4 linked regions of the Lepisosteus oculatus genome follow. The protein of the gene in region 1 interacts with the protein of each later gene in a pairwise test. Links are inferred from orthologs where the notes say so. Each region holds a gene or a part of one and is shown in the gene's direction. Other genes may lie near its edges. The genes, in order: creb3l1, gpr25, mfsd5 and pgap2.

Region 1 (7,478 bases):
GTCACTATTAACAAATTTCATAACCCTGGTTTGAACCCTCAACTGGTACCTCAAGCAGAGCTTTCAGTGCCTGAGCAACATTGGAGCACAACCTAATATTCTGCATAGATCTTATTAGAACAGTTGACTGTGGGCCATCACACAGTAAAATTACAGTCAAGCAACAGTCTTGTGTGGAGGTGAGGTCTTTACTTTTAGTGTAATCTGTGTTATTTATTCTGGTTTATTTAGTCTCAAAGTATTTAATAGCCAGTTGAAAAAGGGAATCAGTATACAGTATATTCTAATTACAGTAACTGGGGAGATAGCCGCTGAAAGTAACACACAATTAAATGTGTGCTGTTAAAACATTAACGCTAACATTTTTTGTACTTCTTTTGATGATAAACATTGGTTGAACGGACAGAAAGTGGAGCAAAAAAAACTCCTTAAAAAGTCTAAATGACCATGTGATGTCATGTCTGGTCACGTTTCCAGTATTTTCCCCATTGGTCCCCTACCGAGGAATTTGAGCCTTGTGGGGCTAATCACGGCATTGCTTGTTTCTGTCTGCATTCACAAATAGTGACTTCATAGCATATGACAGACTTTCCAGATACTTTAGTTTTGAAGAGTATTTTAGGAATTAGGAACAATCACCCTATGTTATAAAGTACGCGTACTTTTTTACCATAGTTCCACTTTGTTTGAAAAGGACTCTCAATGCTGTCAGCCAAAAACTTAAAAAACGTTCTTTTTGGGGGGAAGGGGGGGGTGATTACAAGGCTGTACTGAACAAAACTTGCAAATGTATTTCATTTTCTAAACATAAATTGCTTGCAAAGTAGATCAACAGATCACATAGGATCAAATAGCGATGATCCCAATAATAACTGTGTGACAAATGAATGAATTACAATATATACTGTATGCTTTGTGGTCGCACCGCTACACGCAGCATCTATGGCCTCCCTTCATTTTTAAAGATAGGAACTTCCAGAGAATGGCATCGAAGTCTCAACACAATATTGCACGGAGAAGATGCAGAAATGAAAGAAGACGATCATGTATTAATTGAGAAGAAATGGGGGCTAGTTGAAAGTTAGGCTCGGCACAATGCTCCTTTATCTGTGAAGTAACAGAAGTAAGAAGAAGAAGAGACCTCGGCCCTTAAACACTCCCAGTCACAAATTTCCTTTATGGAATGGCGACCTGAAATGCAGCCCGCCGATAGAGGGCCCCAAGAGGTGCCATTAAGGACCACTCACTAGAAAAAATAAACCTTGCACACCTATTGTTAATCGTAAGAAGACATTTTCAGACACGTGAAGGTATCCACTGGAAAGTTCCAGAGGGCGACATTCCTGATCTCCGTAAATGCCTCAGAGAGAAAGTGACACAGGGTTTCGCGAGTTCGAACTTGTTAACTGGACATTTTATACAACCTCTCCTGTGCGGTATTAGTTTTAAAGGCTTTTTTCAGGAGATGTAGAAGGCGGCGCTTACTGTCTCAAGAGCTTGAAATATTTACGGTTTAAACTTTGGGAAGATGTCATAGTGATTCCAAGGAGATTTTACTTGGCTTTCACTTTTGTTTCTCATTTTAAAGACCGGCCTTTTGTATCACGCTTTGTGTTAGAAAAGTCCAAATGTGCAAAATGACAAGAGTCATCAAGGGAGTCAGTAATGAAGCTGTGTAATGTTTAACAGGGATTCGCAAGCAGTGTTACCTTCCCAAAGGCACTCCTGAAACAAGGGCTTTACTCAGGCCTTTGATTAAAAAATAAAGTTCTAAAGCTAAATGAATCCCGCTATACCAAGAAAATATCAAGTAGATCCCCTATATAAAGTTCAAGAAGTAAATAAACCATCTCAAGGAGACTAGACTAAAATTTCCAAAGCAAAAATGGACAGGACACGACGAATACGTAACTTATTTCGTTCACAAAATAAACATTTAAAAAAATATTTTCTAAAATGAATGTTCTTCTGGCTGATTTTCATTTCGGCTGTGCAATAAAACGTTTATTTCAACCCCTTTGTAGCATATAAAAACATTCCCCCTGCAACCCTGCTGTTGTTTAAGCAACCTTCGGAGAAAGTAAATAAATATTTGTTGTTGCGGAGGGAGGACAACCTCCTGCGACGTTTGTGTGAAAGGCTGAGTCTAATTATTCGTTTGCGCAGTTTTGTTTTCTGCGCCCACACGGCTCGCCGCATGTATGTTAATTTAGCGTTCGCGGGTGGCAGATGCGCCAAGCAGCAGAAGTCTCAGACGTCTTACTTCAGTTATTTGTTAGCGCGCCTCTAATCAAGTTTCACAGAGCACATCAGAGAAACTGAGCTGCAGCGCGCATTCTGATCATTAAACCCCGATCTCGTCCAGGCATGCACAGCTGCTTCTCTTCTCCGAGTGACGTCGCAGTTCTTCTACACATGAAAAGCTTTCGAATTGAACTGGGCGAATAAGCACTTCTAAAACATGATTAATGGAGAACACGGAAGATACGGGTTTGAGCAGCTGTCTCGGTGTAGCTCTTTTCCCATATTTCTATTTTTAGGAGATAGATAACACCGCAGTCTAAATGTGGATCAGCTTGTTGCAGAGCGCAACAAAATAAGATGATGCAAAATACGCAAAAAAACAAACAAATGAGAAGCGAGTTCTCGTTTACACCTCTAACAGTGACCACCGTTACATATTTTAGCCTATTAATGCCATTTGAACACCAAGATCCAGAAATCTATGAACTGGCTTCATCGCTCTGCTCTCCTCCCCACTGATAGCTGGTGTGTGGGGAGCGCTCTGGCGCACTATGGCTGCCGTCGCATCATCCAGGTGGGGCTGCACATTGGTGGTGGTGGAGGGGAGTCCCCATTACCTGTGAAGCGCTTTAAGTGGAGTCTCCAGAAAAGCACTATATAAGTGTAAGCAATTATTATTATTATAATAAATCAAAGTGCCTCCTGCATCAACAGGGAAGGAATAAAGCACATTGCACTTGTAGGATTAAAAGAGAAAGGATACAGATGGATGATGTCACCACAAGTGTTCAGCTCCCTTCCTGGAGGGCTGGGTGGGGTGTTCACTGCAGCCCATCTCATTAATGACCGAAATCAGCTCATTATTGGCTTAATCGGCCCAGGTTAACATCTTCTCTCAGAGTCTTCAGGAGCTGCTCCTGAAAGAGCCCTAGAAAGCCCGGACACACGGCGATCCTCCAGGGCCGGGATGAGGACTCGGACACTTCTGGTATGCCTGGTACCATTAACGTGTGATCTGTCTACCAAGGAGCTCCAATTGGCTCTGGCCCCCCACCACCCTGAATTCACAGAAGCGGCCAGTGGATGAATGCCAGAGAGTCACCCCAAACCAACCATTTCTTGAAGGTTAGGAACACTTGTAGTTTATTGGTCAATTAAGTGAATAATGAAGGGAATTCAATTAAGGGAAAACCAGCCCTTGAGGCCTGGATGGTCTTCAGACCCTTTGTTTTAAATCAAAAGTATTTCAAATCAAAGCAGAGTGTCTCCTGAATGTATGTTCCATTTGAGATCTCAGTTACAAAGCTGGTGGAATTATTTCCTTCACAGTATAACTGTTAATACCTCTGGCAAGGATTGGAAATGTTTTATGTCCAGCTTTACTTTTACTGAAGTGTGTTTCATTGTCTCATTAATCAGCTGTAAAAGACCATATTAAAAACCCTTTGTGTCTAATTAAAAAATAATTAGGATAACTGTTTATTTAATTGACTGCTCAATTAAATTGATCCCCCCCAAACCAGAAGACACTAGGCACTAGAAGAATTCGGTCGGCCGTCCCTGCTACAGTCAAATGCTATCATGGGGATAAGGTGTCGTTCACGGTATCTGCAGCGCAGCAGAAAATGCAGTTCTCCATGTGGACACACACACACATATATACTGTATAAACGTTTTATAAACGAACATGCAAACGTAAAGGAGTCGATTCGAAACCTTTTCAGGTACAATATGTGGCTGCATTTATTTTCTCTCGAAGAAGACGCTTCGCATCCCTAGCTTCTTGTCGACGGATGGGATCTGTTGGCTCCAAAGGAGATCCTGAATCGAGCGAAACACACACGGTTTTGATCCGTGCGCTGGAGAGCCCTCCTCTTCCCCGAGCCCAGCTGATACACAGCGCACCCTGGCCGGTCTCGACACGGTCCTGCACCCCCGTTCAGAACGGAGCAGCGCTGTCGGTCGGTATTTGGTGCCGCACAACAAAAGTGGTTAAAGCTTGTTAAAGGTTAAAAGGTTCCATCCCGTAAAAAAAAATGCAATTTTAGGAGCCGGGGCTGGGCTATTTTATAAAGAGCTCATTTGAAAAGGGCTAATGTACCACTGTGGCTTTAAGAGACAACGGGTGGGATTTTGGAAAGACGAAAGAAAAAAGGCAGGAGAAACTAGGCGGAGTTTAAATGAATATTAATCATCTGATGGACTCCTTAGAGACAGTCCCCAGCTGGATGAAACACATTTGACAGAACCCATATAGAACTCGTTCTCTAGCATACAGGGTTTTAACCCAGCATTTTTTTAGAAGAAAAAGAGCGAATTCAATTGAGAACTGCAAACAGTTCATTTGCAAACGGCATTATTTCACTTCAGTTCTACAACTCAGCTCGAGTTAGGGAGACAACGCAACTTCTTACATCTCCGTATCTTTAGCCAACAACTTAGATTTTGAAAAGTTTGCATCCATTTATTCTGATCTCTTTCTCCCTCAACTAATATCGAAACCTCCGTTGTTAAAATGGACACCATCCTAGACAACTTCACCTCCGAGAAACTTTTCCCTAACTCCAATCTCTTGGATTTAGAAGATCTGAATGAAGCCGACTTCCTCAGTAACGTGGTACGTAAACGATTGACTTACATTACTCATTTTCGTTATTTTAGATCCTTGACAAGGCACACTTATGTTTTCTAATAGCCTCTGAACCACTGTTAATGCAAAATATTCAAACCTAGTTTCAGAAGATGCATACACTACCGCATCACTGTTATAACGCGTCTCCTTTCTAACCCTGTGGCCACTGTTAATAAATGTGTCTTCCTAACCCTGTGGGAGCATATACCAAACGCTTCTGCAACGCTCTAAAATATCCCACATCAGAAAATGGCAAATGTATTTTTCCCAAAAACAAAACCCTTAAATGTTGTGTGGAACTTTTTGTAATGATTGTTCAGGGTTGCATCGTAACTCGACGCACCGGAACCCACGGGCAACCCAATTCGCGCAAGCGAGATCTTTTAGCGTTTACTTGTCAGCGTGGACAGCAAACTGTTTCATTTGTTAACACTCGGCGGCGGCCACTTGAGGACTGGTTTTCCGCGAAGAAAGTAAACACGGTTTCCGCCGCGAAGCAGCTGTTTTCGGGCCAGCGGAGCTGCCCCAGCTGTGCTCTAAACGCCGAGTCTGTTCTCGGAGCTCTGCCCCCGCGAGGAGGCGTGGCCCGGGCTCTTTCTCACGCCCACCCCGGCTCTTCTCCTCCCTAGACATCCCTATCCTGGTTAGCTCGCACATCCTGGTGGTGGTTGTTTATCGACCTCTTCGACTGAAGCTGCAGGGCGAATTCGAAAAACGCGTTTTGCCGTAGGTTGCGCAGTGCTATCTGGCTGAGTGTTGCGTTTGTGAGCGTCTTGAACGTGCAGGAGATCGGAAAGTGAACAGATGGGCTTGCGAGGCTGCCACGGTTTAAATTCGTTGTCGGATGCAAGACAAAACTGAATCTTTTTTTTGTGTGTGTGTGTTGCTTGATTAGACACCAGCGTGGAATCCCTCTCTAGCACCTTAAGTAAAGACCGCAAGCACCGCTGTGCTGCGATGGAGATGACGTTTGTCCAGTGTTTTTCATGTGGCGTGTTCACATGCGTTAACATACTTCACCAGACGTTTGCGGAAAAATGAAAATGTGTAGCTCTGACAGCACGCAGAGGTAACTCGTTGTCTGCGTGTTTAAAGTGGTCGACCAGGCGTATGTACCCTTCATTTCTGATCTTTTTTTTTTTTAATATCGGCTTTGTAGGAACTGTGGCGAATCAAAACCGCCGGACTTGGCCCGGACAAGATGTTTCATTTTAATCTTAATGAATAAATTGGCGCCCATCCAGTAACAATGTTTCTTATCTTATGCAGTATGACTCATGGGTTCTGTAAAAAAAACTGAAGGGGAAAAGCTGTATAAACTGTATCTGTAACGTCATCTTCATGGAAGAATGAGTTGGCTTTTCTTGGACATCTAGATTGATTAGGAAGGGTACAGTATACAGTATGTGGAATAGTGTTGATTATCACAGTTCTCTGCATGATGCACACTCATCTTCAGGTTGTGCAGTACAGCCAGACATCCCTGCATATTCTCGTAGTGTGAATGAGGTGGGGATTAAGTCACATCTCCCTAACTCTTGAAACTTGAAATCGGCACTGAAGGCCTGTCAGGGCTCCCACATACAGTAGTTACAATAGACTGTGGATGCAGACATCTTTTCACACTTCAACAATAAAGGGCTCTTGTTAGCTGGGCTTCAATGGCCTTTTTATCCTGTGTGCACTGACAGACTACTGAGGGAGGACCTGTATGTTTAGGTTAATTGGGCAGGGTCTGTTTCTGACTGCTGCCTCAGTGCTGTGTGGGGGCTGAATGAGGCCTGTGTGTCCAATAGGTCTTTGCTCCTGCAGTCACTGCCTCTCCACTCAAGCCCCTATTAAGGAAAGCCAAGTGGTGAGGACTGACCCAGTGAAAGGACTCTTTTGTGCATTAATAGGAAAAGCATCAAGTTGCAAAGGTGAAATCCAGCTGCCACTGTCAACGCAAAAACAAAGAGTAAATACAATGCTTTTCAGGCCTTTTTTTGTGGGGAGATTAAATCATCCTGTGTTTCCTGTGTTTAGATACTCATTTCATTTTATTTCCATTTTCTTCCATGTTTTTCAATGACCTCTTTTTTCAGTTCCGTTTAGTATTGACATGTAACATTGTGGCCGGCTAGGATAAAATAATCCCTAATGGAAAGGAAAAGAAACTGCAAGCTTCAACTGTAATAAAATATGCCTTATTCCTTACGTGACACTCGGGAGGTTAGTTCACCTCTTCATCTTTTTCTGTTGTTACTTGTGTACCCCCTGTTTCTGCTGTCTGAGAGGTATGAGGTGCATGGGTAAATGAGGCGCACTGAAGGTAAAACTGACTGCTTTTGCAAAACCTCAACTCTTGCATCGGCTCAGGTTTAAAAGCTCATCATGGACAAGGGAGATACATCAATCTTGTTCTCTTTCAAGGCTGCACTGCTCTATGTGGGATTCCCAGTTTGTTATTAAACAGAGTACATGAAACCAGTCGAGTGCTAGTTTGTCTTACAACATCTAAGACTCTTTAGAATCTGTTTTAACAAATGTGGCAATGATCTGATCTGACCCTCAAAGGAAGTGGTCAAAAAGTGGCTTTTCTCAACACATATTTCCGAGGGTT
Region 2 (6,897 bases), on another chromosome or scaffold:
GCCTTATAAACATCTGCCGTGGTAAAGTTAAGGGCTTGGTAAGGTACAGAAAAGAATAGTGAGATCATGGTAATAGTTAAAAATGCACAGCCTTAGGTGGTGAGGCACCAGGCCGAATGTGCCAGGCTGTGGCGAAGCGATACAAAGCAAGGTATAGGCATGGGAGAATGTAACGATTGTGCAGATTTAGCATGTCAAGGTTTCAGAAGGTTTCAGAAGGACAGGTGCAATATTTTTCATAGGGCCCCACAAAGAGGCTTTCAAACCTTTCTTGCTCCGCTGTAAAACTGAATGCAACTGATTTCTCAAAATGGAAAAAGTGGGTATAGAAAAACAAATTAATTAGCTTCTCTTCCGTGAGCTTCCCTTAACCTCGCAGCACCCAGGTTAAATGAAATCGTCAGAGCGGTGGCACTGTGGCTAAGGATCTGTGTCTGTGGCTGAAAGGTTGCCGTTCAAATCCTGTGGCCGTTGGGCTCCTGAACAAGGCCCTTAACCCCAACTGCTCTAGGAGTGCTGTACAATGGCAGACCCTGTGCTCTGACCCCAAGCTTCTCTCTGTCTGTGTGTCTCATGGAGAGCAAGTTGGGGTATGCGAAAAGACAATTTCCTAATGCAAGAAATTGTATATGGCCAAAAAAGTTATCTTATCTTTATCTTAATAGCACAAGTGACATGTCACAGATACGTTACAAGTTACGTTTCTGCAGGACCGATTCCAAACCCAAAGCCCTGGCTGTAGATTGTGCATTTTCTGCTCTGCCTTCTTGTTTGCCTATATGGTTGCAGCTTTGAACTTGCTCACTGTCAGAAAATGGGGAGAAATAATCTAATTACAACTAACACTTGGAGAACGAGCTTGCTATCGGCATTGAATCAATAAAATCAATTTTATTTGACTGCTTAAAATATACTGCCAAGACCAGTACGTAATAACTTCTTAATATAACTATGCTACATACTCAAATATCATTTTTGTTCACTCTGTCAAAATCTTTTCTGATGGTTATAAGAGCGTGCCATAACTAAATTCTGTAGTTACCAATAATAAGCAAATATCAGAAGTGTGATTGCTAGCAGGTTGATAGTTATGTTAGATGGTTTTGAAGCCATTCCACTGATTCACAGTGCAGTATCCTGACCTGTTTATGCTCTGTATGCCTGACTATTAACAGAAAGGCTCTTACAGTATTCCTGGTCAGGGACATCCTGTATCAGAGATTTTAAAACACCTGATAGTAAATTCACAGCTCACTTCCAAGTCTCTATTAAGTCACTTTGGACAAAATGGTAATGGACCCATTATTTAAATTATTAATTAAAGGACATTGCTCCTCTCTTTAATTAAAAGTAATATATATATTAATAAATCTAATTTCTGTAAGACTCACAAGACTTTGAGATCAGGTTGTGAAATATTTCATTTTTATGGTTGTTTTCGGGAAATCGTAAATGTGGTTTATTTATGTTAGTTCAACTTCTACACTCACAGCCTCTGTAAAGAATAACTGGTTAAATTGCCCTCCATCATTTATGAAAGCGCTGTCGTTCAATGTCAGTGAACGACATTGAAATTATCTTGTGTTTATGAAGAACAATTTTGCTTTAAAAATAATCACATCATTAAACACGGCATTTTTCAATTTGCCGAGTAAAATAGCACTAAAACGTTAAATATTAGTCCTGTCAACAATAACCACCTTCTGAGGGGGAAAGGGTTATTTAAATCATTATTGTTCTACTGCTTCATTTTTGAGGCAGACTTATGCAATGAACACAATCTCAAAAATCGGAGCAAGACCTTTTCAGCTAGCTGTTTTCTTGCCAGTGGTTTTCGGGATTTAAAATGTTAAAACCACGAAGTCGACCACGAAAGGAGACGAACACTGAAACCATTAAAAAGATCAGCTGAGACTGACTACACTTTGATTCTAACTCTGAAAGACCGTGGTATTAAACACTAACATTAATTTTAATTTCCCGACTACCAGCAACACGAGAGCGTCAATTGTGTTTCCCCTTGTTCAGGCACTTGAAATAAAGTATTTTGATTTTCTACGTGTATTTTTACTCTGGGGACATTCATGACTGGCACTGGAAACTCTAAATACAGATATTTAAAAGTTTAAAAAAGTATTTTAAACATGCTCTCTGCAAAACACTTCATCACCAGATTACAAAGACTTTTGTTAGAAGCGTCCCGAAATATTTTTTAATAATTTAACATTGGTACAACATAAAAACAATTTTTTCTGTCATTTTCTTTCAACACCGCACATGTTCAAAGCATTCTAAAAACCTTTAGATATTTTTAAACTATACACAGTAAAACTACATATTTCAACGATGCATAATTTTTTCTCCACTTTCGACCGCGATGTCCTTAAACGCTTAAAATAATCTCTATTATTTAATTGTGTTGAAAATGCATTTCCATCATAAAATTCAAATTAACAAAAATGAACATCCGACCACAAATTGTGCTCAATAAGCGAAATAAACATATTACCGAAAAATTAAAACAATAGATTTCTGAAAAAGTTCAGGTGGGCGGCTGCGTCAGCATGCGTAGGCTACAAAGGAACAAGTAAAGGTTTATTCCCTGCTGAAAAGAGAAGAAAAAACACAACATTTAGGCTGTGGAGCCCTTTTCGGGTGTCACACCCGAAACGTTGTGATTTCTTTCTTCTCTTTTCAGCGTGGAATAAACCTATTACTGATTTCTGAAAAATACTGTTTAACCATATAAACTAATCCCGAAACGAGAGAAGCCGTTCGAAATTAAAGAAGATTTAATATTATTTAAAAAAACATTCGAAAATCCTTCTTAATTGTGCTAATTATGAGCTATTTAACTCAGTTGAAGTTAACCTTACCTTTGTGAGAAATGTTCTCGCGTGGAAAAAGTCTTCTTGGAATCCACTCATTTTTGATAAGACAACTCAATGCGTGAAACCGCAAAATTATAATTAGTTTGCTTGAGGCGAGTTAAAAAATTAGGCTTTGGATTCCTGTTGCTGCGCTGTGTCTTTTTTAATAATGAAAATATGCTGGTAAAAACTGTCATGTTGAGACGGAGCAACTTGAGTTCCGTTTGTGGGATTAACATTGTTTGAAGTTACTGCAAGAGCCCAGGCGCAAAGTCGAGTCACAAACTACTATAGAAAAACTATACAAACTATAATTTCATCCTCACGGTTAGAGGTGCCTGCACAGGTTTTTTTTTATCTCCAAAACAATTGTATGTCAATGGCTTTCGTCTAATCAATATCCGTTTATTTTTGTTACGAGACGTAAAACTTTTTTTTTTTATTTAGTCATTATATTTTCTATAGCGCCTTGGAAATCAGTCATCTTAAAAAAAATCTGTTTTGTTTAGTTCAGCTTCACAAAGTTCAAGTACGATTTAAAAAAACCGTGTTTGACACACGAGAAAATGTGTCTCGGGACCCTCGTAAACGATTCTTTAGTTAACAGAGTCTCAGTTTATTCTACACATGACAGAGTGACGGTGCTCTGAGCGGCTGTTAATCTTGCAGTTTTTACCCTGCACTGTAAACACCGGCTCTCACGTTCTTCTTTTATTCTGGGCGCTCTCGTTTGGTCCGGTGGCGGTTTGCCCCACTGTCTCTTTCGGGTTTAATTTAACTGGTTTTAATGCTCAAATTCACTTTCTGGTCTATAAATGTTGACTGGAATGTATCAGACATCTTTTTTAGCCCCCTGCCAGTCCCAGACGTCCAGAACTCCCGTCATTTAAGTGCGTTACCCAAAATGCAAGCCCATGGACAGCTGCACAGTATATGAAACACCCCTACAATGGACAGTGAATCACCTTTTATGTAATGCCTATTTAGCCAGATTGCTTACCGTTTTGTACACTGAAGTTGTTCGAAAGTACGTTTGAAGTCGGATATTTAAAACCTAAAAACGCAGAAACAATCCTTGTTGATTATTATTATTATTATTATTATTATTATTATTATTATTATTATTATTATTATTATGTGCTCTTAATTTTCACCACTAAACCACTCTCCCATAACATTTGTTTGTTTTGTTTTCTAGTCCAGTATAATTCCTGGGACATTCATTTCTATTCAGTTAAAACTTTTGCAGTTTTGTCTACCTCGGTGTGACACAAACAACAAAAGTGAAACTGGCTGGCAAAGATAAAAAAACGTCGTGTGTGCGCGCACGTGACCCAACCACTTGGCATATTAAACGCCCTGCAGTGCTATCAGTACCGCACAGTGCGCTCACCAGGGTCCCCACACTGCGCGACATGGCGGCGAATACCATGGACACGACGGACTACGAGTACTCTGAAGATGACTTCAACGGAAGCGAGAACTACACATACCTGTATCCTGACTGGCATGAGTTATTGGATTGTCCCCAGAAATCCTTGCCCTGGCAGTCCGTCATTATACCTACCCTCTACTTTCTCATCTTCTTCACTGGCTTCATTGGGAATCTGTGCGTCATCGTCATCATGGCCTCCAAGCACAAGAACAGGAGGCTGGTGGACACCTTTGTCATTAACCTGGCCGTGGCGGACTTGGTCTTCGTGTGCACTTTACCGTTCTGGGGGATTTCGGCGGCGAAGGAAAACCAATGGGACTTCGGCGATTTCCTCTGCAAGTTTAGCAGCTACGTCATCGCCGTGAACCGCTTCTCCAACATTTTTTTCCTCACCTGCATGAGCGTGGACAGGTACTTGGCCGTCGTGCGGATGCTGGACTCCAGATACCTTCGCAGCAACCAATGCGTACGCTTGACCTGTTGCGTCATCTGGTTGGCGTCCATCGCGCTAGGAGTGCCCTCTCTTATCTACCGGAGGGTGGAGGAAAATGGCGCGGCCCGTTTGTGCACCGAAATCGCCGACTCAGCTGTTTTCAACGGGATCAGCCTTGTCGCCCTCTTCCTTGCCTTCGTGCTCCCAGTGGTGATAATAGTTGCCTGCTACTGTTCCATTCTGGTGAAGCTGCGTAACCCACCCGGCCTTCAAAACCCCAAAACCGAACAGCGCCGCAGACACTCGCTCAAGATTGTGCTGGTCATCATCGTGGCCTTCGTCGTCTCCTGGCTGCCGTTCAACGTCTTCAAAACCATCCTCATCGCCTGCCAGCTCCAGTTCGCGTCGCTGTCCTGCGCCTCTCAAACGACCCTGGCGAGGGGCCTGACCCTGTCCTCTTGCTTTGCCTTCCTAAACAGCTGCGCTAACCCCGCCATTTACATCTTCCTGGACCACCACTTCAGGCATCGCGCTCTGCGCTTCTGTCTCGGCTGGTTCGGCCCACAGATCAAGCGGCGGAGTGGAGCTCCAGCCGCGTCCTCTTCCGGGCTCACCATTGACAGTTACTCGGTGTCCAGTTACCCTCGCTGCCGCATGTCTTCAGTTCACTTGCAGTGAAGGACCTACTCTCGGAGACGGCGTTGCAGTAAGAGGTGGCAGCGGTTCGCGAGGTTTGCAGAGTTCGGATTTGGGGTGTCCTGGTATTTGGGGTTCAGTTTCCCAGCTTTTTTCTCCCCAGTGTCAGAACATTGACAAGATAAAAACCGATCTTGTCAGGCAATTAAAAAACAAATTCTGCACGCTTAAAACTGCGTCTGTGGATTGTGAGGAACTTTTTAGTATTTTTATATCATTCGGCATCATGTTGAGAGATTACTCGTGATTACTTCGTAGGTCATAAACCTGATTAATTGGGAATGTTTACATTTGTCTAAAACGCCACCTCGTTTTAATATGTTGTATGAAAACAGGAAAGCCCTGGGTATGACAATGAAAAAACGAAAGGTTCTGATTTTCAGCGCTCGCCACTCTGCACCACACCAGTTATCGTAACAGCAGAGAACTTGTTAAAGTCGCTTTCCAGTGAGCTGTACAACTTTCTCCGAATTCACTTTTGTTTCAATGCCATTTTGCATAAAAAATGCAATTTTGTATCAATATCATTACTTATTTGTTTTGCACAATCAATTATGGGAACATATACGCACAGTGCAAGAGGGAAATAGGCTAATAGACGAACGTTTCAGCGATATCATCTTACTGTCGCAGCCTACATGAAATTATTTTCTGCCATGAAAGGAGACCTCAGTTCGGGCTGCTCTTCACATGCAGATGCAATAAGAAGTGTTAACCGCTGTCAGTTTCGCTTCAGAGGCTGAGAACTTCAAAAGCCCTCAGCTTTTTTGACTGAAGAAGTGAGATCATGCTCGTGTTTTGAAAATGCTTTCGCTATAGAATGTATTAGTTCACTGGGTACGTTTTTACTGTTCTTTCCGTTTTAACACAAATAATAAGTAGTGGCTTATACAGTATGTATAAAATGTGTATACGAAATAAAGATCAGTAGACGCTTTTCTAAATATGAAATGGACTGAAAATATTGGAGAAACCTTTTTAATTGTGGAAAAAACGGAAAAATATTTAAAAACAAATTACAATTTTAAACGTGCTGCATGAGTGGTTTTACTGTAGGTGCGAGATTGAGAAGAATTGTGCTGGAGTCTCGGACTTTTTTTTACAGTTAGTGCGGATGACTTAAAGGAGCTAAAAATGACGTACATTTTATTGCAACATATTGAAACATTTTTATATTCACCTTCTAGGTTATAACTACGCATTAAGATTGAAATATTTTAGTAACTTCTGTTCAGTTCAACTGGTACTTCGTTATATTATCGTTATGTTTATTCGTGGCATTAGTTGATCTTCGCAATAAAACTGATCGCTCTTTGTATTATATTGTTTAACACATTTACAAAATGTGAAATTTGAAATCTCGTTACAAAAAAAGATCTAAAACTTTTGTAAACATTGGACATTTACTTCTAGACTGTCATTGTAATATAAGCTCTTTCAAAAAATGTTTTACGCAATTTTTT
Region 3 (7,972 bases), on another chromosome or scaffold:
GGGATCCTGGGTTCCTCCCAGTCTTCAGATTCCTTCGTGTGTGAAGTCTGCCCAGTAGGGAGAGTTTTTTTCACTGGGGTTCGGCGCCCATCTGAACCCCAGGAAGCTGATAGCATTAGCTACAAACAGCAGAGGGCCATTCTGCCCATTGAGAATTTCGCTGCCTAGCAGCTTGTTGGTTCAGATGCCCTCATCCAGCCATTTCACCAGAGAAGCTTGGGCACCATAGCTGTGTGCGACCTGTTCCAGACTCCAACAACCCTTTGCGTAGAGGTGGCTCCTGCACCCTGGCTCTCGAGTGAGACTTGGCACCCCTTTGCACTTCTCCCTGATGATCTAGGTAGGGGTCCAAGTTTAACACAAGATGCACTTATACAGTATGTTCCCCCTGAAAATGACATTTTTCCTAGGCTCATTTTCAACATTGAGGTAAGAATTCTGGTAAAGCTGTTCCATCGTTGCTCATGTGCTGACCTTTTACAGGCGGCATATCCAGACATCCCAGGTCTCCCAGAAATCAGCCTCTCCTCCCTGACTCCCTGATTTTTTTCAAGGGGTACCTCCACCCCCCCGAAATCAGTTTTTCAAAGTTGGGATGTGTGTATATCTGCAGCAGAAACATGATGAAATACGTTGGCTCTGGCTCCTTCTTCAGAGACTGCCAGGAAGATTCATGACTTCGTGCAAAGAACTGACCTGGAGGCGCCCGTCTAGGGAAGGGCAGGTCGCATCTACAGATGATTCATCCCTCGGAAACAGCTGTACGTACCGTCCCAGGGAGAACAGAGGCTGTGAATTTATGAACTGGAGGAGGGTCCTAATTCGTTCTATTAGCGGCGATAAGCCTTCGCTCTCACGTGCTGCACACGCACAGGCGATGCGGGGAGCCACAGCAGCAGCTCTGAAATTCTCGCCCGTGTGAGATTTGACCCTGGCACGGGGACCTCGGCGTCTCCGAATTAAGCCGGTATTAACAGTTCAGTCCCCCCCGCCGCCGGGGCAGCAGCTGCCCGGGTGAGCTCGGCTTGTTCCACAGGGGGGCCCGCTCAGTGGGAACAGCGGTCCAGCTCGGAGACCGAGACGGAGACGGACTGCAAAGGCTAGTGTGGACTCCCTGCGCGACATCCCCGGCTCTGATGAAGACCCCGGCAGCGGCGGCGCTGTCACTCAGCGCCCTCGCAGAGGCGGGTGAGAGCCGGCAAGATAGCGTCGCAAAAAAACAAACAAACAAACAAACAAACAAACAAACAAAAACAAAACGGGATTTTACGGGCGGTGTTTTGCCTTCTGCGCCCGGTGACAAAGGGAACAGGACCCCTTCAGGGTTCCGACTGTCAACGCCTGCACAGTCACCGCCCGCCCCACACTGAAAATAAAAACGCCGTGGACCGGAGTAAAAGTTCCTCTCCCACGCACTCGCACTCAAAAATCAATGGAGAGATTGTGGTGCGACTTGGAAGGAAAAGATTCCCCATCGTGCCAGCAGAAGTGCCTCGCAGGGGGTGGTGTCACGTATAAGACACAAACACCGGCCAATATACTGTCTCCCCCCGCACAGACACGGGACCTCAGTGCGGTGCTGGGACTCTCCAAGCCCGTGAAATACCCGTGGCCCGGTCTCCCTCCTTCTCTGCTCTTCCAGCAGGGGCGCTGGAACAGGGATTCGACATCCCCGTGCAGACGTCTCCTGCTGCTGGAGCCCCAGCACCGAGGGGTGTGTTTGGCCGGCGGCTTTGGTCAGTGTGTTTCCCTGGGGTGATCCAGTGGGATGTGGGGTGAGGAGGGGAGAGAACCGCGGTTCGGTGGGTGAGTTGGATGGGAACAGGTGAGTATATTTCCAGGTGCATGGGATGGAGAAAATAAGGACAGGGAAGCCCCGGACAGGCCCGTGTGCACCAGTGGGCCCAGCTCTGGAGTCCTGGGAGACACAGCGCGGAGAACCGCGAATCACTGGCCCGCTCCGTGTGCTCGGGGAACCTCAAGGGATGCCCGACCGTCTGCACCTCTTATTAAAATGACACCCCCCTAACCACTCCAATTAGGTAGTAATAATAATAATAATAATAATAATAATAATAATAATTGCTTACACTTATATAGCGCTATTCTGGACACTCCACTCAAAGCGCTTTACAGGTAATAGGGATCCCCTCCACCACCACCAGTGTGCAGCCCCATCTGGATGATGCGACGGCAGCCATAGTGCGCCAGAACGCTCACCACACACCAGCTCTCAGTGGGGAGGAGAGCAGAGTGATGTAGCCAGTTCATAGAGGGGGATTATTAGGAGGCCATGATTGGTAGGGGCAATGGGAAATGTGGCCAGGACACTGGGGTTACACCCCTACTCTTTTCGAGAAACGCCCTGGGATTTTTAATGACCACAGAGAGTCAGGACCTCGGTTTTACATCTCATCCGAAGGACGGCGCCTGTTTACAGTATAGTGTCCCCGTCACTATACTGGGGCATTAGGACCCACACAGACCGCAGGGTGAGCGCCCTTTGTTTTTCCCAGGAGGTCTCCCATCCAGGTACTGACAAGGCTCACACCTGCAGAACTGCAGTGGGTCGCCAGTTGTGAGTTGCAGGGTGATATGACTGCTGGCTGACTGCTGGGTTTACATTGCATACTCTGGCCGTCAAAGAGGGTGAGTTTTTTTTTTTCACGTGTGGACTAACCCGAAGGCACGCGTAAAAAACAGCAGATCTGCGGTACAAGCAACCGAATCCCTCATATATAGGCAAAATGGCGGTGGTTAGATCGCCCTCTGCTGGCAATAGGGGGCGTTGCAGTTTTCCGAGGCGCCAGCGCTGTGGAGGTCTGGCTACGTGTCTGGATTCTTCACCACAGAAAAAACTATTTCACCCAAACCCTAGGTGTGTTAATTGGTACCATAATTTGAAGGGATATAAGTATAAAGGGAATTATAACATCTAGAAATTTCGGTAGAGTCTGTCAGATATATCCGAGGTTCAAGCGAGACATTCTGTAGATTTCAAAGGAACAAGTAATAGGTTGATTCCATGCTGAAAAAAGAAGAAAGAAAACACAACGTTTCGGCCGTGGGGCCTTCTTCAGGTGTCACGTGGAGCCGTGGAGCCACACCTGAAGAAGGCTCCACGGCCGAAACGTTGTGTTTTCTGTCTTCTTTTTTTCAGCATGGAATCAACCTATTACTTGTTCCTTTGCAGCCTACGCATGCTGACGCAGCTGCAAACCTGAACTACATTCTGTAGATTTGACCTCTACTGGTAATAGGTTATAGGTCCTGTTTGTAATTAAAGGGGAACACAGTCAGATACAGAGCACATGCCTTTGTAACTTTGGGGTTTTGCAGCGACAGCACAGCTGGGCAGCTGTTGTAGCTCCTTACAACCCTTGTGTGAAGAAGAACAAACGTTTCATTTCTGTAAGAACACATTAGGCACTGAAAATGACATATTTACAACCATTTCACTGTAATTCAGCTGGGTTACTATTTTAGGGCTTTTGGCAGAAGAAGTCATTTTCTCTAACTCACAATTTGCCTTTGAGAAAACATAGCAATATTACTTCCTTGCAAGACTAACATGAGCTTAAATACGCAAAATAGTTCTTCATTGTTTTACTGAATAGACGAACAACTCGTGCGCTTTGCTTCAGTGTCAACTAGCGTTACTTCAGGTTCTGCAGGCAATAGAAAATCTTTTCAGAACGGGAAAGCCTCTATGCACTGTGATGGACTGGTGTCCCGTCCAAGGTGTGCCCTGCCGTGCACCCGTTGCTCGGATAGGCTCCAGCTGCCCCGCGACCCTGACTTGGAAGAAACGTTTAGGAAATGGGTGCCTGGATGAAGACCTGTGTGTGGGCGACATCTAGTGGTGATTAAGCGCACTGCCTCCCTACCCTTGAAGCGCCAAAGGACGGTTTCGCGGGATAAGACCGTTTGGCGACGTTGCGATAAATCTAGAACAACGAAACCGCTGATGTGACGATTATCCCCTTCGCCTCCAATAGCAACTCAAAACTTAACCCCCGTCCTACTACCTGTGAACACTGAGCCTGCCCGTAGCTCAGCCTGAACTCCTTACCCAGCTACTCCTGGGTAACCATAACATCATAACATCCCCGGCGAAACCGTTCTATAACACTGTACCCTAACCCCTCTCAAGGCCGAAGGTTAACATATAATGCATTTAAAACCGAGAGCAGGAGACATTTTCTTTACGGAGAGGGTTGAGGGGGTGTGGAACAAGCTACCCAGTCAGATTCATGAGGCAGATACCCTGGCTTTTTTCAAGAAACGGCTGGAGGAGATCATCTCCTTGTAACTGCTCTTGCATTCTAATGTTCATAATATTAACCCTGGCCTTCATCCTTACCTAAAAAAATAATCCTCACCTTCTATCCCAACTAAGCCTGTACCCCCGAAAATTTATGGAAACGAATAGGAACATAGGGAAGTTAAAAAGAAACGAGAGGGGACCGACTGGCCCGTCTTGACTTGTTTGTCAGGTATTGGATCTTTTCCATCAGTTTCATGTAAGAACGCGGGAGAACGCATGTACCGGTTTTCAACCTCGTATGAGCTTCACTTGTTCCACACACCCACACCCTTTAGTGTAAAGACGCCTCTACTGTGCTCAGTCTTAAAAGCACGTGTGGCCTCTGGTTGGTGCTTCACTGAAGATCCATTGAGCTGACGAAGACAATATTCCCTCAAGATATCAGATTCCAGGTCATCAGTTCAGGCAGAGTAATTGCTACAGTTGACAAACGAACTACGTTTAACGTAAATAAGGCGCTGTAAATCGCTGGGATTCGATGGCACTGGATACGAGCGTATGCTCTGCAAATACATTTTAATATTCAGATCAGATGAAACAGTGCAGGAGTAATAACGGACAGGTTGCCACAGATCGATTATTGTAAGAGGTCCCACAGTCTGCAAGGCACTCGGGTCACATGACGAGTTCTGGCCGCAGTGGCTTCAGGGAGGGGCGGGGCGTAGAGACCTGCGGAAGAGAAGTGACTGATTCGGGAGCGACGCAAGGAGAAAGGCGTTTGACGTTAGTATTTGTCTTTTTAAACATAGAGGAAAATCTTCTTCAGGTATGCTCCTCCATAGAACTCAAAGCTTGAGCCTGATATAAACCAACACAAGGCTTAACATGAGATTCCCATCTCAAAAAACGGACAGGAGGGTGTCCCTTTGACGAGCAGTTTCTATTATTTAGGCTGAAAACAAATGTATAACTATAAAAATCCTCAGTTTCTTATCAGGGTTAGCTTCCCTGCAAATACAAGTCTTACATGCGGACACCGTTTCTGTTAGTATTTACATTATTGTAAAGAGGAATAAGCAACACGTCGGGGCTGTATTGAACATACAAGTAATTTTAACTGCGAAAAATCATATCATACGTTTTTGACACTGAAAAGCGCTCAGCGCTGGTCAGGGAAGGTAAGTTAAACAAACGTGTTTTATGATTTAGTCATGGCAACGTGTTTATCATTGTTCATATACACATTGCATGTTCCGCTGAGACTAATCTAAATCGTTTTATAACTTAGCGGATGTTAAAGGTTTTGATTTTATTCTAACAAACGTATCGCATTTCTGCAGGTGAGGAAGGATAAGGACATATTTGATTGATGTTAGACAATGTAAGTCTCAGAAATAGTTTTAAAACTTTTTTTTTTTGCGGGGTCCTGTGACGTGGTTAGTAGTGGCGCTAATATAAGTAGTCAAAGCAATGGAGTTTCCGCTCCTCTAGTTGTATTTGTATTTGTAAATTCTTTATACATTTAATACAAATGTTTAAAAAAGTCAAAGCAACGGAGTGTTCGCTTGCTCAGGTAGGGTGTACGTGGAGCCGTACCGAGGAAGCGGAAACACCGCGTAGGCGAGCAGGAGAGCCCGCGGCCCGTGCAGCTTTGCAACATCCTGGTCGCTTGGTGTGTTAACTGTCCAGGCGCTGACCCACCTTCCTGACCACCTCTCGGGGGGAAGTCGTCCTGCCCGTCCTGTCGTGGTCCAGGCTGTCGCAGTGACCTCTGGAACAACTGTGACACGAGTCGTGCTTGAAATCTAAAAATCAGAAATAATTAAAAGTTTGTCACAGTGGTGCAGTGGTTGTTAAAAATAATTTAAAAGACTGCTGCTTAAAGGCAGACCGGTGGGAAACTGGTCATTATCTGTCTTGTGCTTCTGGGAAACGTAGCTCGTTTTCTTAAGTGAAAGTGTTGGTGCTGCAGCACAAGGAAAACTGGACTCTGGAACTGCTGTTGCCCAGTAGGGTGACTCCTGAAGAGCTCTGCCCGTAGTAACTGCCCACGGGGCAAGAGCTACCAGCCCTCGCTCTGCCCGGCGCCAGCGGGCTCTCTCAGCCACCTGCCTCCAGCTCACAAGTGATCAAACCAGGGTTAATCGCAACTCAGGTGCAGTTTTCCTTCCAAATCAAAGTTTATTCCCATGTCTGCGTCAACCAGCACCTGCTCCAGTCTGCGACTATACACTTGTTATCCTGGTCCCTCCAGCCCCAGTTTGTGAATCTGCCCCGGAAACAGGACAGTGGCTGTCCTGTGGGTCCGGCCAGCTCTCGCCTGCACAGCTGTGGCCATCCAGTGCTTCTGTCCCCTGCGCTGTGTCCCACAGATGGACCCCCTATTCCTTGTGTGGGGCCTATTTAAGGAGAGTGTCCAGAGCTTCCCTCTGTGGGTACTACTGTGCTGATCTTTCTCTCTCCTCACAGGGCTGCTACCCCAAACTGTCCCAGAGGCTCAGACACACTGCCCAGCGGAGCAGATACCCCAAACTGTCCCAGAGGCTCGGAGACTCTGAGAGCGAGAAAGCAGTTCTCTGGGAGTGAGTGACAGGAGACTCTGCTGCTGAAGGGTCTGAGGGATCGGGGCTGGAGAGGAGAGGGCAGCCTGGGCTGGAGAGGAGAGGGCAGCCTGGGCTGGAGAGGAGAGGGCAGTCTGGGCTGGAGAGGAGAGGGCAGTCTGGCCTGGACCCGCGGTGAGGCACCATGCTGGTCACCGCCTACCTGTCATTCCTGGTGCTGCTGGCCCTCTGCCTGGGCCTGGAGCTCAGCGCCTGCCGCGCCCAGCCCCGCCAGGCCGCCCACGCCGCCAACCCCGTCTTCCGCAGCTTTCAGACGCTCTTCCTGCGCGGCTACCTGCTGGCGCTCTGGGCCGACTGGCTGCAGGGGCCCTACCTCTACAAGCTGTACCGCCACTACAACTTCCTGGAGTCGCAGATCGCCATCCTGTACGTGTTCGGGCTGGCCTCCTGCATCCTGTTCGCGCCGGTGGCCAGCTGGCTCCCCCTGGCGCTGGGCCGCCGCCGCACCTGCCTGCTGTTCTGCGCGGCCTACGCGGCCTGCTGCCTCACCAAGCTGTCGCGCGACTACTTTGTACTGATCCTGGGCCGCGTCCTGGGGGGGCTCTCCACCTCCCTGCTGGCCACGGCTTTTGAGGCCTGGTACGTCCAGCGCCACCTCGAGGCCCACGACTTCCCCCGCGAGTGGATCCCCGCCACCTTCTCCCGGGCCGCCACCTGGAACCACGGCCTGGCGGTGGCGGCGGGCCTGGTGGCCAACCTGCTGGCGGAGTGGCTGGGCTGGGGGCCGGTGGCGCCCTTCCTGGCGGCCGTGCCCGCTCTGGGCCTGTGCGGCTGGGTGGTGCTGCACGAGTGGGGCAGGGAGGAGGCGGAGGGGGGCGAGGGCCGGGGGGCGCTGGCGGGCTCTCTGCAGCCCCCGACCTCCTCCCTCTCTCCTCCTCCACCTCCGCTTCCCCTGCCTGGCCGGGCCCGGTTCTGGCGGGGCTGCCTGGAGGGGCTGCGCTGCCTGCTGGCGGACCGGCGCGTGCTGCTGCTGGGCGGGGTGCAGGCGGCCTTCGAGAGCGTGCTCTACATCTTCGTCTTCCTCTGGACGCCCGTCCTGGACCCCCACGGCCCCCCCCTGGGCATCGTCTTCTCCTGCTTCATG
Region 4 (7,999 bases), on another chromosome or scaffold:
AATCTTTCACACAAGAAAATGGAAACTCACTGCCAAAAGCAGCTGGCTTGGTCGCGCCGAATGCATTGTTTTGCTGGGAGAACAGTCCTCCTCCTCCTGTGTTGGTGCTTCCAAATAGACTGCTGGAGGTACCACTGGCAGCACCAAACCCAAACCCAGTGCTAGTGGAGGACGTCACAGGCTGGCTAAACGTACTTGAGCCAAAGAGTCCACCTTTAATTTACATTTTTGTTTTATGAAGGGGAAACAAGTGAGAAAGAAATACAGAAAATGTTTAGAAAAGTGAAAGCCAACACCAAGCCTCAATGGCTGACTTCTACCGGGAAAAAAAAACTTAGTATTGCAGGGATTTACTCCATTAATATCACTACAGCAATCCCTACGTTAAACAAACTTTGCTTTACAAGACCTCAGATTTAACAGACAAAATCTACTGAAGGGGAATTTTGCCTGAAAAATCAGAAATACCAACAGGCATCATTTCACATTCACTTTCCTCTGGTAATCCACTTCCCCCTTTGAAGTGCACACACTCTCTGGAAACCTTTCCAGGGAACTTAATGATAAAGTCACGGACAGTGTGCATGTTTTGTCCTTATGGGTTACGTATAAATCATTTTACGTGTGGACAATCAGAAAAAGCATGTGTCCCCAAGAGTGGAAGAGGGACAGATTTTAATGGCACATGAGCATTTCAGAGCAGAATACAGATTTCCAAGGGATACACCACCAAACTTTCCATACAATAATGGGGAAAAGCACAAATAAGAAAACAAGGCAAATTAAATACTTAGGTTTTAAAATTGGGCAATATCAATGGTGCCCTATATGTGTAGGTCATATACTTGTGATAGGTTTTTGGTTGTGTTTCATATGGTATACAGAATACGCTAAAACATATTTACTAAAATAGGCTCAGATTCCCCTGCGACACTTGGATAAAGCAGCTAGAAAATGGATGACAGAATATTTACTACACATGAAATAAAGAGCTTGTGGATTTAAGAAAAACAGGCATGAACAATTGTCAAAGACTGTGTTGAGTATATCTTAAAAAAATCATCAAGAGAACATAATTCTCATATAATAGTGTTTTGAGCTGACAGACTGAACGCCAATGGACTTCTCCCCTGATAGTGCCTTTACACATAACATGGCTACATGATCACACTACCCAACGCACTATATACATCCAATTGATTTCTCCTATCTGTACATTTTTTCAAAACTTTAAACGATGCTTACCTCCTCTACCAGCACCAGTGTAGATTTGTTGGGGATTTGCTGTTGCCACTTTTGAGAAAGTAAAGTACAGTGTAGTTAAAAACATTCACGGGGATCTACACCACACATTGAAAACGTAGCTTGGGAAAGGACCACCTTGTATTATCTCCGCAAGATTTGTGAATCTTTCTTTCAGTCTTATTTGTCTAAAACTTGGATATGAATGTGATTATTTTAATTGAGGCTTCTTTTCTTCTGAAAATAAGTAGTGTGATCATGCAGATTTGAGTTCCAGTATATTACTAGGAATGCTAACCCCTACAAACAGTTTTAAGTTTAGCTTTACATAACTAAATCACTTTCTCCATCCAGCATGCTGTACCGGTACATTGAATGCAATGTCTGCCAAGTTGTTCCCATCACTGACAGCAGGACCAAAGTCGGGTCTACAAGTCCTTACTTACCTTCCAGTATTACAGACAGAAATTCAGGTTATTTGATAGATGCCATTTTAGTGTACCTAACCATACATAATTGCGTAACTGAAAAAAATAACTTCTCCCATATTCTTTTGCAATTATATGAAACCCTCCAAATAACGTAACCAATCACATCTTCATGTAGTATTATGTTTAACTATAAAAATATAGTATGAAGTCATAAAGAGGTATCACTTGATCGTGACACTATATCCAATAGTCTTACTGAAAATAATAAGTATCCCAATATTATGGTATAAGAGTGTAGAAAAAATGTATTCTGTGCCAACTGATGCAAGTTATATTGGTCAATGAGTTATATTAACTACCAAAACAAGTATAGCACTTTAACACTATCATTGCAAATCCTGTTACATATTTTCACAGTTTGGAAATCTCTTTGTTTATAACGTACTTTAAGCAATAAGGATTCTGCATTTGATGTTGATAAGAATGAATTTTGTTGACTTGTAAAACTTTCACATCTCAAAGCAAACATATCCATGGACAACGTGTAAAACCAGGACTGGTTGCAAAATAAACCTAAGACAAAATGACAATGGGAAATTTAAGGTGCAAACCTGGTTTATTCTGGGTGTTCCCAAATAGTCCTCCAGTGTTATTAGTGGACCCAAAAGCTGAAGTCCCAAACCCACCTGTAGATCCAAACCCAGAATCTGCAAAAGAAGTTGAAATTGCGACCATTTTGTTTTTCAGACACTTCGAATGACAACAGCTGTCTTTCGGCAGTGCATAGATTAACCACCATCTGCCTTCGCTCCAACCTGGCAGCAGTGGGGGACCGATAGTAGAAGCTACATCTGCCAGGGTGGCCAGGGCTCATTCTGGGGACCTTGGGACTTCATGAAGACTTCTTTGGGATGAGGACTTACAAAGAGTAGTGGCAATACAATAAACATTATAAAGTCACACCCTCATTGGCAGAGAGCTGGCAAGCTTGTTTTCACTGCATTTGTCTTTTGCACAAACTGTAGTGGGATACTCCAATAAAGTGTACTTAACTGTGTTCTAGGTGCCTCTATCTGGCTTGACCTTGTCTAATTGCATTAGATACATTCTTCTTTTAGAATATGTGTATTTGGTGTCATTAACATTAAACTATTGTGGAATTCTAGTTTTTATATCACATGCGGGACAGGATTCTTCTAACAAAAACTCCATATCATGACATGTTTGACCATTTTCCTTTATCTTTGAGGATTGACTGCTTTCCAATAGGTGTAAATCAAAGTATAGTACACAAACACCAGCATTGTTCCATGCCTGATATCAGCTACAAAGACACAAATACACGGTAAGGCAAGCTGTAAAATAGTGATTCTGAAAACAATGTCAACACAAGTTGACAAGGAGATAAGAGATACATTCCACAAACCAAACCTACCTGTATCCATTTACAGGCTCCACCTTAAGCTAAAATGGACATTAAGCACTTTTATTTTCACTGTCCTTGCTTCTTATATGCACCACCACCCTCCATGACTTGTCAATGCGCAGCATCTTAACAGTAGTATGTAATCTGTTCTATGTTTCCAGTATGAAATGGAAGTACAATAATGAATTTATAACTGCAATAACAGCGCAAAAGTAGCAACTTACTCTGTCCAAACGTGGAGGAAGTTCCAAAGCCACCAGTTCCTCCTCCAAAAGGAGTTCCAAACGCTTTGTTGAACATATTCGGTTCCTATCAGGACTGCATACGTCTGTGAAGAACAATTCAAAATACTGTTAGAAACCTTCGGCACATTTTGTTAACGTATGAGTCACATAAAAAAAAACTGACAAATGCATGGAATATTCATCTCAACTGTCGAGGCATTCTTACTGTTTATATTCCACGACTTTACATAAACCCATACCGAGGTAGCCTTATTTCGCTCATGAACCCGTCAAGACAACTACAAAGTCTCACATTTATAGCGTCGAAATGGCAACTGCTAATAAATATGTTTTCGTTTCATTCCCTTAGTACAACTTACCAGTGCTCGTTTGGAAGTCAGCACCGGCACAGAACAAAATGTATCGAGGTAGCAAAAAAAAAAACCCAGAACTTCCACAACGTATTTTTCCCCCAAAGAGTAAAATAGTGAAAACGTCAATGGCTAAACACCCTTTTTGAGACTTCAGGAAGCACAAACACGTTCAAACGGGAGCCAAGACTGAAACACTGCAGGAGAACGATTGAAAAAAAAAAACGTTGACTTGGATCGGAGCTGTTGAAGTGTATGTAGCGGCATTCGAGTTCATTACACAGCGGGTGAATCGGCAAACACTACATTTTGCGAACCGTTCTTAGCCACCGTGCAAAATTAACACTGTCAACAAATCACTCCGGGAGTTTGAAGTCGTTTCTATGGTGGGTTATTCTGCGCGTTAAAGCTGGATTTGTTTACAGGAAGACGCTGAAGAGGCGCCAGAACCGATGGTCGAGGCCTAAAGCACAAGGTTTCAGCGGCAACCACATACAAGCCTCAATTCAGGGCACGAATTGGGGTTTCGAAGATCCTAGGTTACTTCCTTAAAGCATACCAAAACAAACATTTTAGGTGCGTTTCGACCGATCGTGCTGGAAGGAACCAGAACAAACCGGTTTTTTAAAAAAAAATGAAATCGCTATCTAAACAAACGAGAACGCTGGAAGGAGATACCAAGCAATGTTACAGTATTTGGTGTTTCTTTTGATTTATTAAAATGTGCCCCGATCACTTGCTACCTGAAACTGAAGCAAAGAATGTGAATTATTATAAAATGCACACTTGCGACATAAAAGTGCTAAGCCAACACAAACTTGGTCGCATATGCTTGCAGGCAGACAAGCTTCGCAGACACGCATTTAAGTACGTTGGCAATTACAATATTCCCCTGGAATATATTTTCTCATTGTACTTCAGGATTAACAACTGAAGCTGCCACGTTTATGCAAATTAAAAAGGCCAACCACAGAGAAACGTGCAAATTAACCAAATATTACAAAGTAGCGATATTTCTTACCGTATTATTCAGAAGCCCACTCAATATCTTCCTCAGGTGTTCTTCCAGCAAAAGCGGTCCGAATACAAGATGATATTTATGTAGCTCACTATCCACAGTGTCCAATATCGATATATATTTTTTTCAATATCGCCCAAGGAAGAGAGAAACTGCGTAATTTACCTTTGAAAGGCCAAGCAGTACGCAAACTACGTCAGTACGTAATATGTCGACCTCTTTCTGACGTCTACTGCAGATGGATCTGAAATATTATTGGACAACACTGTCGCCCATCAGCTTGTAAATCTATTGCACTTTCGCGACTGGGTAGAGTTTGAATTGGTGTCCCGCCTCCATTCGGAGGCCTTAGGAGCGAAGTCCCAGTTTATTGGCTGTTGGCAGCGACCGGCCGCTTATGTTAAATCTGTTCGGGTCTGGACGGCCGTACGTGATCATGTGTTGCTGTGCAGCTCGAGTGGAATTCGTCGCTTCCTCTAGTCACGACCGTTTTTGAATAGTGAGTCATTCGCAGTCGTGATTCACTTGGTGGATGAATGCGCTGTATTTCATTCGGGTGGGTAAAAGTAGAGGCAAGTTGTCTTATTGTAGTCTTCGATCGATGCTACCGTTTTATAGGATCAATTGCGGGGTTGTAACTTTGTTCCAGATTTATATAACGGTCTTCAGTTTTTTTTGATCCCATATCCTATGAAAAACATACTGTAGCTCCCTGGTCATGTGTTCCCCATGTCCTAACACTATTGTGCCTCGCTGAGGTCCTGGGGGGCTACAGTCCTGCAGTTTTCACGGGTCTGTCTTGGCAGCACCAGTCTCCCCTTATCTACAGCTGTATGATAAATGTATTTTTTAATGTGTACTTGCATTATGGTGGTTGGATTTACCATATTTGGAAATTATTCCAAAAAGTAAAGCAAGTTCCAAAAGTAGAGTGACAATCAGACCCAAATTTAATTTTCTCACCAACTTTAAATAAATGTGGGCTTTCTGGAGGTATGTTACGAGTCGCAAGTTATAATAATCCCCACTTACACTAGTTACACAATAGTTCCACTTTCAGTATCTTTCATTTTCTGGACACTTCACTCAAAGTGCTTTACAGGTAATGGGGACTCCCTCCTCCACCACTACCAATGTGTAGCCCCCACCTAGATGATGCAACAGCAGCCAAAGTGCACCAGTATGCTCACCACACATCAGCTATCAGGGGGGAAGAGAACTGAGTAATGAGGTCAATTCATAAATGGGGATTCTTATGAGACCGTGTCTGGTTAAAGGCCAGAGGCAAATTTAACTAGATCAATGGGGTTATACCCCTTAATCTTTTTGAAAAATGCCCTGGGTTTTTTTAGCACTATGGAGTGTCATTATGATTAAGGTTTTACATCTCATCTGAAGGATGGAACCTATTTACAGTATAGTGTCCCCGTCACCATACTGGGGCATTAAGACCCACCCTGACCGCAGGGTGAGTGTTCCCTACTGTTCCCAGTAACACCTCTTCTAGCCAGGTAATGGCCAGGCTCACACCTGCTTAGCGTTAGTGGGTTACCAGTTGTGATTCGCAGAGTGATATAGCTGCCAGCTATAAGTAATGGAGTTTCCCCTTTGTATTGACCCAGGAATGTGGAAGAACAAACTTCCCAAACCTTGTCCCTGGGGCACCACTGTGTCTGCTGGCTTCCCTACCAGCTAAGCTCCACATCTTCAGTACTAATTGATGACTTTAACTGCTCTGCTTGCAAGCACAGGCTTTCAGGCTATTTCAATACTCAGTCAGGAGATATAGAAGGATAGGGTTTCCAACGGCTCCAGCATACAGAACATGGAGTAGCCTCTCTACAATGTGTTAATATGTGATTGATTTTTAATAAAACACACAGATGAAAATGACACTGTAGCAGACACTCACATTGAGCTTTTATTTTTCCTTCAGCAGAGGATTAATTGAGTACATTTCATACAACACAGCTTTGGCACAGAGGTACCGTGTTAATGCCAATTACAAATCCCATTTGACCTTTTAAAAGCTGAAAGCAAATTTTAAAATATGCTCAATTTAGCCTGTGATTAAGAACTTGGATTGGGCAAAACCAAGAAGTGACATTGGTCTCTCAGGACCTAGGATGGGAACCACTTTCTGTAGAACATGTCTCTATCCTGGGTCTTACAGATCACCTGTTTCTAAAGATGTATTAACCAATAGTACAGTAAAGCCAAAATAATCTGTTCATATTAAAAAAAAACTCTTGTCTGTGAGGGCTGGATGAAACACCTTGATCAATATTAACTCTAATTTCTTTAATAAAATAATGCTATATTCTTTCTTTAAAATGTGAAAGGGTATAAACCTTCCTTCTCTTACCGTTTTAGTTAGTTTTTAATCTTGCAATATATATCTTTAACATAAATAGGAATTTCTGAGCACACAGATGATCTGTATTTTGTGGATCAAAAACTACATTCTTAGAAACTGAATTTTATAAAAGGTCGTGTCTCCTGGGATGTTACATGTTCTAGAAACGAGTCAAGCAATGTAAGTAATATGTCCAATTGTAAGTGTTGTTAATGTTTTAAATGAAATATGTAACAAAATGCAGTAAACGAAAGAAAAAGTTTGCTTTTTGAATGCAGGCCAGAAAATGGCTTGGTCGAAAATTCAAGGAAAAGGAGATTATAAATTGCAATATGCGTAGAAGTTAGTTCTACGTTTGCAACATCTCGCTTTTTGACGGGAAAGAAGTACAGTACAAGCACTCGTACTGTACGTCGTTAAGAAACGTTGGAGTATTTCGTTCCGCTTTTGGGAGCCTGTCTCTTTAAAGAGCCTGACACCTGTGTGAGTGCTTTGCTTCTTCCGGGGACATAGTCACAGTCACACAGACACGCTGAGGTTTCGTTTCATGCATTCTGCAACATCACGAACTCAATTGATTTTATTACGCTCGGGTTTTATAAATCTACCAGCTTTGCCAGGAACAGATCAGCTGTTAGAGAAGAGTACTCACCCACATATTTTTTCTTCCTAAATTGTTTTTTTTCTCTCTCTGAGTGTTCATTCAATGATTCTTTTGCAATTTCAAATAGAAACAGAACTGCACTTGCCACTGTTCTAGTGCGTGTCCATGATGATGCTTCATTCAGCGATCGCTTAGTCTGTCGCGTCCGTGGCGGCCGTGTTCTGCTCCAGACTTTTTCGGCTCCCAAGCCTGTCTGCCGGATAAGGTACAGAACTCCAGTCCCTGGCTGGAACGTCTGAATAGGCCATAACATGGAGTTAGCAATTA

Evidence for each region.
Region 2: the proteins of creb3l1 (region 1) and gpr25 interact in binary tests that used the Homo sapiens proteins (3 or more experiments, as listed by UniProt). The two-hybrid records come from large-scale screens. The link is inferred for Lepisosteus oculatus from reciprocal best matches to the Homo sapiens genes CREB3L1 and GPR25.
Region 3: the proteins of creb3l1 (region 1) and mfsd5 interact in binary tests that used the Homo sapiens proteins (3 or more experiments, as listed by UniProt). The two-hybrid records come from large-scale screens. The link is inferred for Lepisosteus oculatus from reciprocal best matches to the Homo sapiens genes CREB3L1 and SLC61A1.
Region 4: the proteins of creb3l1 (region 1) and pgap2 interact in binary tests that used the Homo sapiens proteins (3 or more experiments, as listed by UniProt). The two-hybrid records come from large-scale screens. The link is inferred for Lepisosteus oculatus from reciprocal best matches to the Homo sapiens genes CREB3L1 and PGAP2.

The regions. Positions count from the first base shown.
Region 1 is NC_090716.1:4,505,981-4,513,458, forward strand, and holds the start of creb3l1 (cyclic AMP-responsive element-binding protein 3-like protein 1), read left to right. Parts: upstream 1-4,469; 5' UTR 4,470-4,759; coding exon 4,760-4,861; intron 4,862-7,478.
Region 2 is NC_090700.1:30,700,594-30,707,490, reverse strand, and holds gpr25 (probable G-protein coupled receptor 25), read left to right. Parts: upstream 1-4,258; 5' UTR 4,259-4,285; coding exon 4,286-5,416; 3' UTR 5,417-6,385; downstream 6,386-6,897. UniProt on the Homo sapiens protein: Orphan receptor.
Region 3 is NC_090696.1:18,952,150-18,960,121, reverse strand, and holds the start of mfsd5 (molybdate-anion transporter), read left to right. Parts: upstream 1-4,962; 5' UTR 4,963-5,050; exon of another isoform or gene 5,051-5,093; intron 5,094-5,100; exon of another isoform or gene 5,101-5,445; intron 5,446-6,736; 5' UTR 6,737-7,012; coding exon 7,013-7,972. UniProt on the Homo sapiens protein: Mediates high-affinity intracellular uptake of the rare oligo-element molybdenum.
Region 4 is NC_090700.1:12,973,223-12,981,221, reverse strand, and holds the start of pgap2 (post-GPI attachment to proteins factor 2), read left to right. Parts: upstream 1-4,989; 5' UTR 4,990-5,248; coding exon 5,249-5,268; intron 5,269-7,799; coding exon 7,800-7,937; intron 7,938-7,999. Other genes in the region: nup98 (nuclear pore complex protein Nup98-Nup96), read right to left, coding at 31-213, 1,246-1,293, 2,285-2,380, 3,324-3,399.